Drosophila melanogaster: one gene and its partner. The protein of the gene in region 2 interacts with the protein of the main gene of each other region in a pairwise test. Each region holds a gene or a part of one and is shown on either strand. Other genes may lie near its edges.

The links. The genes of interacting proteins can lie anywhere in the genome.
Region 1: the proteins of CG14234 (region 2) and CG4250 interact in a two-hybrid assay, tested with the Drosophila melanogaster proteins (one large-scale study listed by BioGRID).

The regions. Positions count from the first base shown.
Region 1 is NT_033778.4:22,660,264-22,664,974, reverse strand, and holds CG4250 (uncharacterized protein), read right to left. Parts: upstream 1,284-4,711; 5' UTR 1,231-1,283; coding exon 1,062-1,230; intron 987-1,061; coding exon 854-986; intron 801-853; coding exon 698-800; 3' UTR 501-697; downstream 1-500. Other genes in the region: CG42565 (uncharacterized protein), read right to left, coding at 3,810-3,906, 4,114-4,424.
Region 2 is NC_004354.4:19,732,175-19,742,446, reverse strand, and holds CG14234 (uncharacterized protein), read right to left. Parts: upstream 6,878-10,272; 5' UTR 6,459-6,877; coding exon 6,372-6,458; intron 5,452-6,371; coding exon 5,086-5,451; intron 5,024-5,085; coding exon 4,859-5,023; intron 4,746-4,858; coding exon 4,404-4,745; intron 4,250-4,403; coding exon 4,064-4,249; coding exon of another isoform or gene 4,028-4,063; 3' UTR 1,991-4,027; downstream 1-1,990. Other genes in the region: CG18809 (uncharacterized protein), read left to right, coding at 1-667; COX6B (cytochrome c oxidase subunit 6B), read left to right, coding at 1,250-1,540; AP-1-2beta (adaptor protein complex 1/2, beta subunit), read right to left, coding at 8,217-9,557, 9,623-10,272.

The sequences.
Region 1 (4,711 bases), on a different chromosome or scaffold from region 2:
CGCTTGCTTGAATAATAACTTACTTATATAAACATGTTAATAAAATTGGACATCGAATTTGCATCATTTCAGGTATTAATCTGGATACTAGTTGCCAACATTTTTTAAATTATATGAAATTAACTAAATATTGTTGCCCATCTTTTTTATTGGTATTATTGCAGAAAAAGTTGTAATCAAATAAACGGATAAGCGATCAAATTACCTTGTTTCTTCCCTATTCCTTTGTTTAGTGTTTAATTCGAAGAGGGGAAATATAAAATCTAGGTATTAAATTACAAACCTTTTTCCACTGTTCATTGACATAAGTTGTTCAATATACATATATATATATATATATATCCAGTTTCAAGAAGAGGCAGCGATTGTTAGATCAACAATGTGAATGAAGTTATATAAAGGGCGTAGGATGCAGAACCTCAGATAAAAATATCTATAATATATTCCCGCCTCAGAAATTTCCGGGATTTATTAATATTATATACGAAAGTGTTAACATTCATATATCGCCAACAATTTGTGTGATTAGAAATTTATTTTGAAAAGTAAACCAATGCGAAAATTACATACATATATTCAATTGATTTGAACCAGAGTTGTATTTCGTGAATATTCGTGCCAAATCTGATCCCATCAATAGGTGTGGAGATACAAAGTGGGATCTATCCCTGTAATATTTGGTGTTGAGATAGCACTTCTAGTTCTTGTAGGTGCCCACGTAGGCTCCACAGCTGGTGCAGGTGTGTTTGGCCGACTGGCAGGAGTCGGTGCAGTACGGAATGCAGCAGCAGCAAATGCCCCTGAAAATGGCCATTAGTCCTGCGGGCAGGTGGAGCAAACGGGCTGCACTTACCCCAGCATGCAGATGAGTAGGGCCAACAGGTGGGTCTTGGTGCTGGGCTCGAACTCCACCTTCGTCTCCCTGCGGACGCCGCAGCTCGGACAAGTGGCAACGGATGGACATTGGCCCAGGACATTGGGTGGAGCTGAAAGAGGCACGATTGGATTTCGTATAATATGCGATATTATATTTTATGTTTGAATTGCACAGAAGAATTGACCATTATTTCCGATTGATTCATAGTTCTCTGTATTCTCACCCTGCAATATCACTCCCTGTCCCTGATGGAGCTGAGGATAGACCTGCTGCGGTGCGCTATCATAACTGGGCGGTGCCTGGAAACCCGGAGCCTGAGGCTGCATATTCTCGTATTGAAAGTTCTTCTCCATTCTAATTATTCCGACCGATGTGTGCTACGCGTTTGAATTGCCGACAGCGACTGAAACCGCAGAGAGCTCCTCCAACATTGCTCGGCGAACTTTCGAGTTGCGGCGCGATGCGAATTCTATATAGCCCTACTATGTCGGATGGCTTGCTAAGCGATTTCCGTTAAATATTATGTGGCTATCAGAATAAGGGCTTTTACATGAGTAAGTGTTCTTTTTTTTTTGCAGGATGAAAAGCTTTAGTAAGAAATTGCTCAGCCATGATGAATTAATTAATATCAAAACTTACCAATAAAACAGAAATGTTAGCACTTAGTAGGGTATTCCATTGTCAGGTAAACAAACCAGTAGCTTTTACCCTTCCGAAATGGTCCTTCCAGCTATGCTATTAGCACGTATATAACAACAATTTGCATATTTATTGAAAACATAAGAAATACTCAACTCTGCTCAAGAATTGCGTTGTCTCTAAAACAAATCAACCCCCAGGTAAAATCCACTCGTTTCTTCCTTGAACCCTTTTATTGGTGTGCTGAAGAATACATATGCCGGCACTACAATGATTTGTTTTGTTATCAAAATAGTGCGTAGTAATAAATGTGAGAGAGTTAAAAATAGATCAAGTGGGGATAAGTAATGGGGGCTGCATTTCGGCACGGCTGCTGGCTGCAGTCCACGACAAAAAAAAAAAAACAACTTCCGGCGGAAGTTGCTCAGCGCTCGTAGGTGCCAATGTAGGCGTTGCAAGATGGACAGTGGTGGTCGGAGTTCCGGGCGCATTGAGTGCAGTACAGGCAGCAAGCAGGGCCAAAGGCTGCACGAAAGAGATCACTCAATGAGAATGCACCCAGAATGTTAAGAAATCAATATCGAACATGGCTTACAAGGTAAGGCACATAATCAATGCTATCAGGTGAGTCTTGGTGGTGGCTTTCGGCTCCACACGAGTGGTAACCTGTTGACGGCAACTGGGGCAGACCACGATGCACGGTTCCGGGCCAACGGAAGTGGACATTTCGATGGCGGAGCTGCAGAAAGAAAGCACAGGAAACTCTAATAACTCTCATATTGATTGCAGCGCAGACCTTGAAAACTTGAATACGTCGCGTGCCGCTGGTGCATGAGCATTAAATTGGCTGGTTAATGGGGATTTTAATTGCACACCCGCCATGCAAAACAAGCTGTAATCCGCCTTATCTCCCGTCGATGGCACCACGGTGCTGCGCAATCCCTCCTGCCGCCGTGAGGTCATCCTCGTGGGCCACGGAATCTCTTGTGCCATGTGGCAAGCTTCGTGCCGACGCCGTCATCGCACAACCGCGTGTGTCTGAGCCCCGCTCAACCCCGATTCCATCCATCATCTTTGCTCGTCGTTTGGTGCAACTTGCTTGCTCGGTCTGGTCCTATCCAAAATCAACACAATCTATTTATGTATGTTCTCACTAGCGCAAACCACCCAGCACAGTATCCTTATTTAACAGCGGGTGTGTCCGTCGCCAGTGATTAACATTCCCCCCGAAATCCTACTGTCGTCCTGTATGTCTTTGCTGAGTTCTCCCCCAAGCAAAAGTAAATTTTTTGGGGAGCGGCAAAGCAGCGGTAAACATCTAAACAACCAGATATTACCCAATTAGACCTGACTATAATAGTCCGTTGCTCATGTTTGACCCAATCCTAGGCTTGCATAATATATCTCTCCCGTCATACTTACAATCTGTATGGGTGGGTACGTTGTCAAAATAAATAAAGTAGAATTCCGATTTCACAGAGAGACAAAAAGTTAATGCGCACTGTTTGGGCTGCGAAAGTGTTGTGCGGTCAGAAGTTTAGGGCGCGAAGCGGGACACTACACTTCCAAAAGTATTTCCGTTAGCAACATTATGTTGCCTAACTGGGAAGTGATATTTATATACATCCTTAAAATTGATTACAGCGTATCCCTAGGCTGAGTTAAATTAAAATCCTTTTATTCCATTTCTTAAGAACTAAACATTTAGCAGAAATTCAAATATTTTACTAAATATTCAATTATAATGCAAAGAACTTCAGTGATTTCATTTAATAGCATGAACAGTAATCTTGAAGCATCTTAGCATCAATTTAAACTGTGCCAACATGCCGGTTCGTCCCAGCAACATTTTACCGGTTCAAAACAGTTTCATATCAACATTTATTGCTGGACACAAAAGAGTTGTGCTACGAAAAAGTTTCGGGAAAAGACCGCCAAAAAGTACACAAAAACAAAAAAAAAAAACGTATGAACAATTAAGTTTCACATTATTTTTTCTGCAAATCTAGTTGTCTGCAGCAACAATGTAGCCAGATACCCAGAAACAGAAATTAAAGAAAATTCCATTCGCTTCAAAATCTATTTGTTTATTTTTTCGCTGTCAGCTTATTTTGCTCACTAAGCAAACATATTTTTATGTATGTTAAGTGATGAAGACACCACATTGACGCCGTCGATACATAAGGAGATATGAACATACATACATATATGTATGTATAGTTGGTTATGTATATATATATACATATATATAAAATGAAATGATATGAAATCGGCGAGTGTTTTCGCTGCGTCTTCAAAACGAACCCAAGCAGGAGTTGCAGTTGGGACAGTACTGGGAGGTCTTGTAGCAACAGTTGCAGCAGCAAGGGGCGCAGACGCAGGGCCAGCATCTGGTGGATAGAGATGGGAAATAGAGTATATAGCTTATAAGGCACGATCAGCAATTTCTCATAGCTTGTCCAGGAAGAAGCAAAACAATTGCGGCCACAGATATAGCAGACTAGTAAAAACATTTCTTTTTCCGTTTGCTTACATACACATTATGTATGTACAAACCTTTGTTGCTATACTTGCAACCATAAATGCGATCTACTTACAGGAATAGGCAGAGCAACGCCGCCATACAGTAAGTTGATCCGGTAGGATGGTGCTCCACGCGAAGGCGAATCCGAGCGTTGCAGTGGGGACAGATCGTTCCCTGGCGGGTATTGTCCACCAGCACTGTCGTCTGGTGATGCATCACGCTTACGGGCTGCAACACCGGCATGGTTTGGGCCATCACGGGTATCACCGGATTGGGATGTGCGGGCGACGCCAGGTTCTGCTGCATGACGTCCTCCGCTGGAGGAGCGGTGGCGAATGGATCCGAGTAGGGCGGCGGGGAGTCTACGCGCTTGTAGCAACGCATGCTTTTCTATACTCTTCAAATCACACTAAAAATATCAACCAGTTGCTTACAGCTGCGAACGAGCACTGATATAATACTGAAAGCTTCCGTATATGTATATCGATGACAGTTTCATTAAACTCAGAACTGCCTTATCGGTATCGGTATTCAATTGATTCGCTTTCCTCATATTCTGGGTATTTATCCTAATACGAATATAAAATCTATCTACTGGCACACTAGGTGAGGAAATTATGGACCAGAAAAGATTACTTCATATGTGCAGTGAGAGTAGTAGAAACCATCCG
Region 2 (10,272 bases):
CAGTAAATCGGAGCTAAGCGCCGTACAGAAGGCAGCCGCTGCAGCTGCCGCCGCCACAAATCAAGTCCAGTTGGCTGGCAAGAGCAGTGCCGCGTCCGCGGTGGGCGCCTACTACAACCTGGACACCGACGAGCCCTTTGACAAGGAGCGCATCCACCGCGAAATGGAGCAGAAGCTGCGCGAAGCACTGGCCAGGGAGGGCAAAGTGTATCCGCCGCCAAAGCCTGAGCCACCATCGCATCCTGTCTTCGCCAACGACGGCTCGTTCATGGAGCTGTTTAAGAAGATGCAGGAGGGCCAAAAGCAGCAAGCGACCAGCCAGTTGATGCAGCCATCGGTCAAAGAGGTCCTGCAGCAGCAGTTGGTTCCGCCGGAGGCGGCCTCCACAGGGCCTGCACTGCCGGCCATTGCATTGGGAGCTGCCAGCAGTGCTGCGGCGCCGTACATTGCTGCCGCGGCGGCCGGAAAGCTGGCGCCGCCGCCACCCATCGTGGGACGACGTCGCGGCGGAAAAGTTCTCAAAACTGGCGTAGTGGCCAAAGTGAAGACGCCCAATGAGAGCGACGTGGACCCGAAGGACTTCTGGTCGTTGTACCTGGCCGAGGTCAACAAGTACAAGAGCAACGCCTGCGATACGGACAACGGCAAGCGGCCGCTGGTCAAGTAGTCGCCGAAATAGTCGCGCTTTCCATAGAAACATGAACTTGAACGCAAAAAGAGCGAGAAACGTATACTGCCCAGACGCAGTACTGCAGATTCGATTTTGATTCGACCATACCCCTGTTCCCGAGACACCATCACATAGCGATCCCTTCCCGGCCCCTTTGAAATGTTTTGTACACGAAAACAAGCGAGCAGAGATGCGTAGCTTATAGTTTTAGTCGAGAGTGGGTGGGCTTATGAGCTGCAAGCGCGAGCAGTGTAATTTGTATTTTTTTCACACGAATCGATATAATATAATATAATATGATATATACCGCTCATTAAGCAAACGCAAACTGAAGAACTAACCATTGTGATTTATATATCTATCTCTTCCTTCCCGTTTATGCACTGAAATTGTATTTACGTTTGATTTCGATTCGGTTGTGTACCGCCTCACATCCCATCCCACCCCATTGTGTTCATCTCTTTCTTTTTCATTTGGACAACGATCCATCTGTCCCGGTCTTCGTTTTGGTTTACTATTTGGTTGCCTTACCGTTTCGTTTCGTTATGTTTTTATTTTCCTTTGCCAACTAAAGTCTATATGCAATTTTTCATGTCCAAAAACAAAAGCAGCGACAAATCGTCAGACAGCAGCAACATGTCCGCCTACAAGCTGGAGACCGCCCCGTTCGACCCACGGTTCCCTAACCAGAACGTGACCCGCTACTGCTACCAGTCGTACATCGACTTCCACCGCTGCCAGAAGAAGCGCGGCGAGGACTTCGCGCCCTGCAACTACTTCCAGAAGGTCTACAAGTCGATGTGCCCCAACGCCTGGGTGGAGAAGTGGGACGACCAGCGCGAGAGCGGCACATTCCCCGGCCGCATCTAAGCTGCGCCAGAGACGCAGCAACACAGTAAACCCAGCAATCCAGCACCCAAACACACAGGACACGATCGATGGACGGACGGAGGTAGAGGAGCGTGGTAACCAGAATCCGGCAATTGCAACAGAGACTAGTTTGTGTTTGTGCTTTCCCCAGCGGTGAATGCAGACCATCATCGGCAAATACAAAAAAAAAAATACACAAATGTTCAATTACTTGAATTCTGAACCGATCGTTTGTGTTTGTTTCTTCTTGATCCTTGATCCTTGATCCTTGATTCTTGGTCCTGCCGTTGCTGGCCGAACTGGCATCCGAATCAGATCGACGCCACGCCACTGTATTCCGATGTGTTATTATTAATAAACAATTAGACACAAAGAGTCCGGTGTTTCGTCATTTGATCCACTTGTTGTGAGTGGATGAGAGGTTCTGTAACTTAAAGAAGAAAAACGCACATGTGGCCTGCATCGTTTATTTAATATTACTTTTCTGTTTGCTCATTACAAGTTGTTTAATCTTTGGCAGCCCGTCGTCTCAAGACTTGATTTCATTCGGAAATCGGATTCTTTCTGGTTATAATCGCTTTTGGCCTTTTTGTTATATTAGTTTTTAATTGGATTTCATTAGTGGTGTATACATGTGTGCAACTCTTTTTATGATTTTCACTACTTTAGTTTGCAGTTATTATCCTTTTTTTTTATATATATATTTTATTAAACCGAATTGAGTGTGTCGTACAAAACGTCTACTGTTTGCCGAAGTTAAATGCATTATCGTGCTGCATTAGACATTGCTGTTGAACATTAGAACGACAGGAGGATAGAGTGAACAACTAATAGGAATCAAAGTATAAGCACTTGAGTTTGAGAACAAAATTCGGAAATATAAAGTCTATAGTCTTCGATAGTAATAAATCAACAATTGCGGACGGCAGCCATTCCTAGAAACTAATTGCTAATCAACTTAACAGGAAACTCGAGTTGTATTTAGTATAGGTGTTTGCGACTTGGAAACCAACCGATTCGACATGGAAGTTCCTGCCCGGCAATGTCCAATCCTTCTTTGCGGCTTGGAGAAAGAACCCTTCCAGTTCTAGTTCTTCCCCTAAACGCATCACTTTATCTATTTATTGGTTGTAGGTGTGTCCAGCTAAAAGGGCTTAATCCGTACTGTGGATTGAGAAATACGTCCGTACTTTGAAATGAAATGTAATGTTGCTTGGAAACAAAAGCGGATGGAAGACGACCACAAGACTTCTGAAAACCAGATGCACGGACTCATTTCGCTCTAGTAACCCGATTAAGCCCCATAATCAGACCGTTTAAAATGCTTTATATCACTTAAATTGGTATGTCTCGGCTAGCATATATAGCGTGAATTTCTGAAGTTTGTACCGCTGTTTGCATGGATCTAATGTCTTAAAGTATATATATATATATATATATATATATATTTCGAACGCTAATCTTACGGATAACGCTAAGACGGCTGATCGAGCGGATCGTTGGATTCTGACTTGGTCGAGCCCCAAGTGCGCCCCTTGCAGCGGATTGTGATTTACTGGTATCGACAATTAAGTGGCTTAGTGGCTTTGGCTCATCCGGGTAACTGGCTAATCCTAGTTCTAGTCTACTACTAGTCTAGATGGCTATGGCTCCAACTTCCCCCTCCCCCTCCCCACCCTCTCTTATTGTACTTAATAGGTATTGTATTGTATTTTCGCCTGCCTTGAGCCTCCGAGAAACTGCTGTGCGATGATCGAGTGTTTGGAGTTTACAACGTAATGCTTATATATATAAATATCATGCTAGATAGTTGAAATGGAACTCCTGCAGCTGGGATGCATCCCATTATAATCGTAGAGTTATAACACAGATATGAACCGGATTAGTAATTGCAATTGCCTGGCTATATACGAAAAAGGGAGAAGCTACGAGTACTGCGTTGGGTATAGTGTAGTTACAGGAATCTCAGGCACCCATGATCCACCACCACAATCATGCATCACGCAGCCCATCGCTACATACATATGTAGTGTAGGTATTCCTATCTGTAGTAACATTCGATTAAGTGAAGAGAACAAAAGCTTCCTGCCAGCTTCCTTCCGTGCTGTCCATCATCTTAGACTCTAGCTGTGCACGATGCGATTAATCTTAGTCTAGACTATCTCGTCCCCCTGATCTGTGGCTGGCGCCAGCTCCAAGGCTTCCATGCGAAACCAGCTAAAGATCCGTCGTATATCCTCTGATATTTAAAGCTTCCAATGACCATCCACTCGGTTCTGTGCCACCATTTCCGCTTCCGTTTGTGTTGTGTCCGGCACTTGGTGCCTCGTCTTAAAAAGTCTACATGCAACCGTACTTGTGTGAGTCCTCCGCCGCTCTACGTGGCGGCTCCCTAGAGCCCCCAATCCCGTTTAACTATCCAACCATACAGTTGTGTCCCCCGACCATGACCACATCCGCGCCCAAGTACCGCAGCCCGTAGCCCCCCTACGGGTATAGTTACATGTAGCTATTGCTTGTTTGTTATCCAATGTCACGGACGATCTCGATCTTGTCGCACAGCTCCGAGTCCGGATCGTGGATGGTGGTGAAGTGCGTGCGGTCGCTCCGGAACGTGTTTCGTTCGTTTGAGCTGCTCTTTATCGATCTCTCCGACGGCGTCTCCGTGCCGCTCAGCTGGATGCGCTTCTGCAGAGCCGACACGAAGTTCTGCAAACAAGAGATGCCCACAGGATCAGCTTGGTCTGCTACGACGCAGTAGTCACGCGCTAAGGTGCCTAGGTATGCATACATCATATACTGTTGCATACTTTTGGACACCTTTACTCGCATTTCCGGGTCCATATGAGAGCAAACCACTCACCTGCGATATGATGTCACCACGGGCCGTGCGCACCTGGTACAGATAGCGGAACTTGCGCTGCCTGGCCTCCTCGCGCGTCTCCCGGGTGCGGGATTGGGATCGCCGGACGGGAGCGATGCCGTGGTTGGGTCCCGCCTGCTGCTGGCTGTGCGGCAGATGGGCGCCGTGCGCGTGGCCAGGATGGTTGTGATGCCGCATGTACACCCGCTTGCGGTGATCCACGCGCCAGGCGGTAATGAAGCACTGCACCATGATGCTGAGCACAATGGTGACGGGCCAGGCGGCGATCAGGAGGCCACCGTAGCAAGGTGGCGGCGAGGGATGCGGCCGCATGCCGATTATCTGCAGAGAGTTATATAATTCCATCAATGCTTTCTCCACCCTCCGTATCAACTAAACAGACAGCTTCACATCGAACCAGCCAATGGTGGACATGTGGAGCAGACATGACTCACCCAATTGATGGTCTCCAGACCGTGCGTGAAGAAGTCGATGGCGCTGAGGATCATGGCCGTGCCCACAATGCTGGAGGTGAGAATGGTCACGTACTTCACGCAGCACAAGGTCAGCACGGAGCAGATGACGGCTCCACCCACCACGGCCACATAGATCTCGCGGTACTGCGGTAGGGGAATCGATATAAGCATCTGGTGCAAGCAAAACAAAGAGGGGAGGAACTTACCCCAAACTCGTTGTCCGGAAAGGTGGCCACGCAGACGGCCATGGCTGCGCCGGAGAGCAGGGCGCCGGCAAAGGCGCTAATGAGGACAGAGGCCACCGGATATGTGGAGCCGAGCACCGCGCCCAGCAAACCCGCCACAATGGCCAGCGCCGAGTCCGCCGGCTTGCCCAGGAAGGTGATCTGGAAGTCCTGCAGAATGAAGATCCCGTTGGCGCCCACCAGCAGTCCACTGAGAAAGCCCACGGCGCGCAGGCATCGGTAGCCGAGTAGCGCGTACACGATGCCAAACACGGCGAAGATGGCCCACAGGATGGCGGCCAGCGGCTCCGGCGCAGTGGGCGTGCACGTCTGCCCCTCCAGGATGCCCTGCGGGAGGAGGTCACTGGTTATCGGGGGCGTGTCACCGTAATGCGACCAAGGACACGACACACTTATCAAGCAAGGGCCGTGCGCTGACGCCACTACTCGCCCAGCACACCACCCTGCTCACTTCTGGTCACTGGCCAGAGCAGTGAGCAGTAACTCACTTCAACCTACTTCAGGTGGCTTCAAATTGGCCATTTTGCAGCCACTTAGCCAACGCATTGCACGGTGGCAGGCATAACCACTTGGCTCACATAAAAACACGGGATATATCTCCTATAACTAGTATTAAATCGGTTGGAATCAGCGGGACTGATTAACTTAAAGCCTATAAGTTCTGTAATATTTCATATTGAATATTATCCAATGAAATCGCTATAGAATTAATTAAAAGGGGAAAAGGAATCGTTATAATCCTTAAAGAACTTGACGAAAAGAACTCTCTCCTAAAAAAACCCTATTTGACTAAATTTACATTAGAATATCAATTAAGGATTATAGTTGAAGTAGTAGTAGTAGTTCATAGTAGTTCTATATCAAGCATAGTTTAGAAAGTATAAACATAGAAACATAAGCAATGAGCAACCTATAAAATAATACGAAATATGATCTAAGGATGTACACATATTGTATTTAAAGGGACTACGGATTGTTTACAGCTGGCGGAGTTTTACCCTCCCCAGATCCGATTACAAGGTGGAATAAGCCTTCGGGAGCCTGACAGGGATGCACATGAAGCTCTACATACATTCGCGTCCTCGCAGTGACAAAGCTGTTGACACACAAACCCCACTTATACACATTATACTCGACACTTTGCATATTGTAGTCTCGACTTAACCTAAAAAGCGTGCAAATATGTCGAGGGTTTGGGAAGAGGGGTTGATGGACAAGGGCGGTTGCGAGGGGCTGCTGATACGAACCTTGATGAGAAAGGGCCAGTCCAGGTGGGTGGTGCTCATGGAGTCCTCGCTGCCGTAGTCATACACCATGTCCGCCGCCACCCTCATTCCGGCGGACTAATTTTTGGCGGACCCTTCTCAACGGAATCTGCGATCTGGTGTACTCGATGCTCTTGGTCTTGTCCTTGTTGTTCTGGTTCTTGTTCTTCTACACAGCACTGGCGGATTGTCCTCTTCGTGGCGTTGTTTCGTGTTGGTTGCTCTTCACTGGCACAAAAGGACTCCGCATTCCTGCACCGTTCGCAGGGGCATGGTTGGTTACACCTATGCCTGTACACCTATACTACCACCTGGCTGGATTGACTGCGAAATAGGGCGTAGCACCTGGATGTCCTTTTGCAGCGAGTGTCAAGCGATCCTGCGGCCAATTTACTGCGGGTACATTGCAGTATTTGCACACATTTTCGCACTGCGACGTGCGATACGGATTCGTTACAATCGGGGCCAAGCCAGAATAGCTTGTGGTACAACAGGAAAACAGTGGAGCAGGCAAACAGTCAGTGTGTCCTGTGGCCACGACAGGGATGGCTACACGTCCACGTCCTCGATGGGCAAGCCTGTCCTCTCTTGCGCTCTCGTTGGTCGCACAGGCATCCAAACAACCCCCGAAGGGTTCGCGCGAAAGCTTCGAAAGCTCAGGCGCCGAAGCTCGACGCCACCACCCATCCTTCGCATCCCTGACCAGGTATACCACATTCCGCTTATACCCTTAACTGGTCCACTGCTGTCTTGATGAGCCCATTACAACCATTGCTAAGTGGGTGCCTCAGTTAGTACCAATTGCTGCAATCTTTCCACTGACCAGCATGATCAGTTGGGAATCCATTATATATATATATATATGTATATCCTTTGCATACAACATGGTTATCCCTGTAAACATGGAAGCAAAGCTTTGGGATATGGTTTGACTCCTCGGTAGCTTCGATAGCTTTGGGTGTCTGTACAAATCGCTACAGAATGCTCCACTTACATACGTGGGCCAATGTGGGCGTGGCCATAGTTTGACGCAAAGTTGATCTGCGCGGGAAAAGCGCTTTGCAACTCCTATCTGATGGATTCTATATTTGCAGCAGGAAAACCTCTTTCTCCTTAACGAATTTTCAAGTAAATATGATATTTCAAATCTAACTTTTGAGTTTCAAGCCTAGTTTTGGATTTTAATGATCCTAAATATTGATCAATATATTGACTTTTAACCTAACTGATGCAATTATTTTCTCAGATCTTCGACTTAGAAAACTTACTTTGATGCACTTTGACTTTGAGCTGAAAGTATAAAAATCTTTCAGGCTTACGAACGGACAAATATTATAATACACAGTTTTAATTATAATACTAAAATCATAAATCATAATCATGCGTATTTGGAACCTTGTAGAAATGACCATTGAAAGCGAATAGAAACTGTGCTTAGTGCAACTGCCGTCGAGGAAAACAATGTCACAATTATTTAGTGTTTCGCATTTTACTAGGACACAAACATATACATAGATGCCGACCATAGGACATATGGGGTTACAGAGTTTTGGAATGCGGTTATGCAACGTTGCTATTACACGTTAGTACACTGAGTGACAAGCAGCTCCGATTAACAATTAACAGATCTCTCGACGAACCCGATTGGATTTTATATGTGTGCATATGCATAAATAATATATGTAGGTGGCGATTCGGCCAATACACAATATAATAATAATACGTAAATTTACAACTTATTGTTGAGCTAATCTTCAACACACGCAAATCGATAGCTCCAATTGCTTTGTGCTTATCCTATGCCATCGGATGTGCGCCATGGAACGCTTATGGAGAACGGATGATGGCCTCGTAGGCGGCGAAGATTATGTTGGCCACCTCCACGGAGCGCGATTTGAGGCTGAGAGTGGCTTCCGGATTGCCCGGCTGCAGCTTTAGCTCCAGCAGCACCCAAATGTTGTTGGTCAGCTTGAGTGACTGGTAGAGCATGTCCTGGCCCTCGACGTTACGCTTGGCGATGGTGAAGATGTTGTTGGTGGTCATCTTGGAGGCGATGCCGTCGGTAGTGCCAATTACACCGCTCAGGGTGTACTGCAGTTCGTTGGCGGCGGGGATCTCCTTCCAGGTGTTGAGGAACACGCGCTTGTCCAACTGCCCATCCTCGGCGAACAGCACGTTGCCGTGCACCAGGCACGCGAAGTAGAAGATGTCGATGTTGTTCTTCACGGCCACCTGCAAGTTGTTGAGCGGCTCCATGCGCTGAATGGGTCCGTTGGTGCCCAAGGCCATGCTGACCTCGATCGATTGGTTGGGTGGAAGGGGAGCAGCCTGCATGGGCGACGCGGGCACCAGGCCGAAGCTGTTCTTGTTCAGTTGGATGGCGAAGTTAGTCATCGGCTGCATGGCTTTGTTGGTCAGAGTCATGTCCATGAACACCTCGCCGTTGCGGCGTGAGAACGTTCCTTGTATTTCGAGTCCCTTGCCCTTCTCCGCTGGCAGCCATGTGACCTTGGGAATCTGAACACCCACCGATAGCGTTGCTCCGCCCAGTCCAAAAATGTCGCCTAGCAGGCTGGTGGCACCGCCGGGAGCCGCCTCTGCTGGCGGTCCACCGAGGAGTATATCAAGACCGCCGCCCAGAAGGTCCACATTGCTGGTGGCGGCCGGAGCAGATGGCATGGCGGGTGCGTTGATATCCATGGAGAGCAGATCTCCAATGAGCGACTCCTGGTTGGGAATGACCATTGCCTCTGAGCCGGCTGCGTTTTCTGCTTGCTCTGCACCAGCTGCAGATCCAGCGGCTCGGTTGGGCAGCGACTTGCGCACACCGGCTCCGCGACCCTCCACGAACGCGGTGGGAGGCTTATGATAAACGCTGGCCAGCGAGCTAATGTGGCAGATGAGCTCGTCCAGCAATGTCGGCTCCAAAAGGTCGGTCTCCTCTGAGATGAGTGGCTTATCGGCCAGCACCACCTCCTTGGCGGCGGCCGGGTCCGTGGACAGGAGACGCCAGTAGATGAAGCCACGGTCACGCAGATCGGGGTTGTCCGAATCCTGGGTAGCCAATGATAGTACGTGCTGCACCAGCTCCTGGGTGTCCGACGGGCGCTTGAGGAACAACTTAACCACGGCCGTCAGCAGCTGCAACTGCACCTGTGCATTTTCATCCTGGCGAAAGAGAAAATAGCAATTCAAAGTCCTGATAATGTTGGCAAATCCAGAGAAAAACTTACCTGGAATCCTTCAAGGAAGCTGTCAAGCAGCTCGTCCGCGTTGTCAATGCGCTCTGCGTACTCGCCAATGATCCAAACCATTGATGCGCGTGCCTCCGGCTCGTCCAGAGTGTCCAGATTCTCGCACAGCGTGCTGATAATGCTCTCGTACTTGTTGGGGTACTTGCGGAAGATGTCCTTGATGACCACAATGGCCTCCTGCACCACGTAGTTGACCTTGGTCTGGATAAGATCAAGCAGCGTGGACACGCAGCGTTCGGCTGAGGGCTCCACCTTAATGGCGCATCGCCCGATGGCGCGGACTGCCTTGCGCACAAAATCCACGTCCACCTCGGTGGCGTACTCCTTCAGCTCGCTAAGCACCTGGGCGATGTTGCTCTGGTTGGCCAGGCGGATCATAATGTCTAGCTTCTCCAGTTTCACGTAAATGGGATCGTTGTATTTCACGAAGAACACCTTCATTTCGTGCTTGAGAATGTCTGGCCGCTTCTGGACAATCAGATTGATGTTGCGCAGGGCCACATACTGCACCTCCGGCTCTGAGGAGAGCAACGTAACCAATGGCGGAGCCAGCTTCTTGGTGAGCGTGGCGCAAAAGTCGCTGTCGCTGGACAGCATCTCGAGCAACTTCATCAGCACCTTGACGGCGC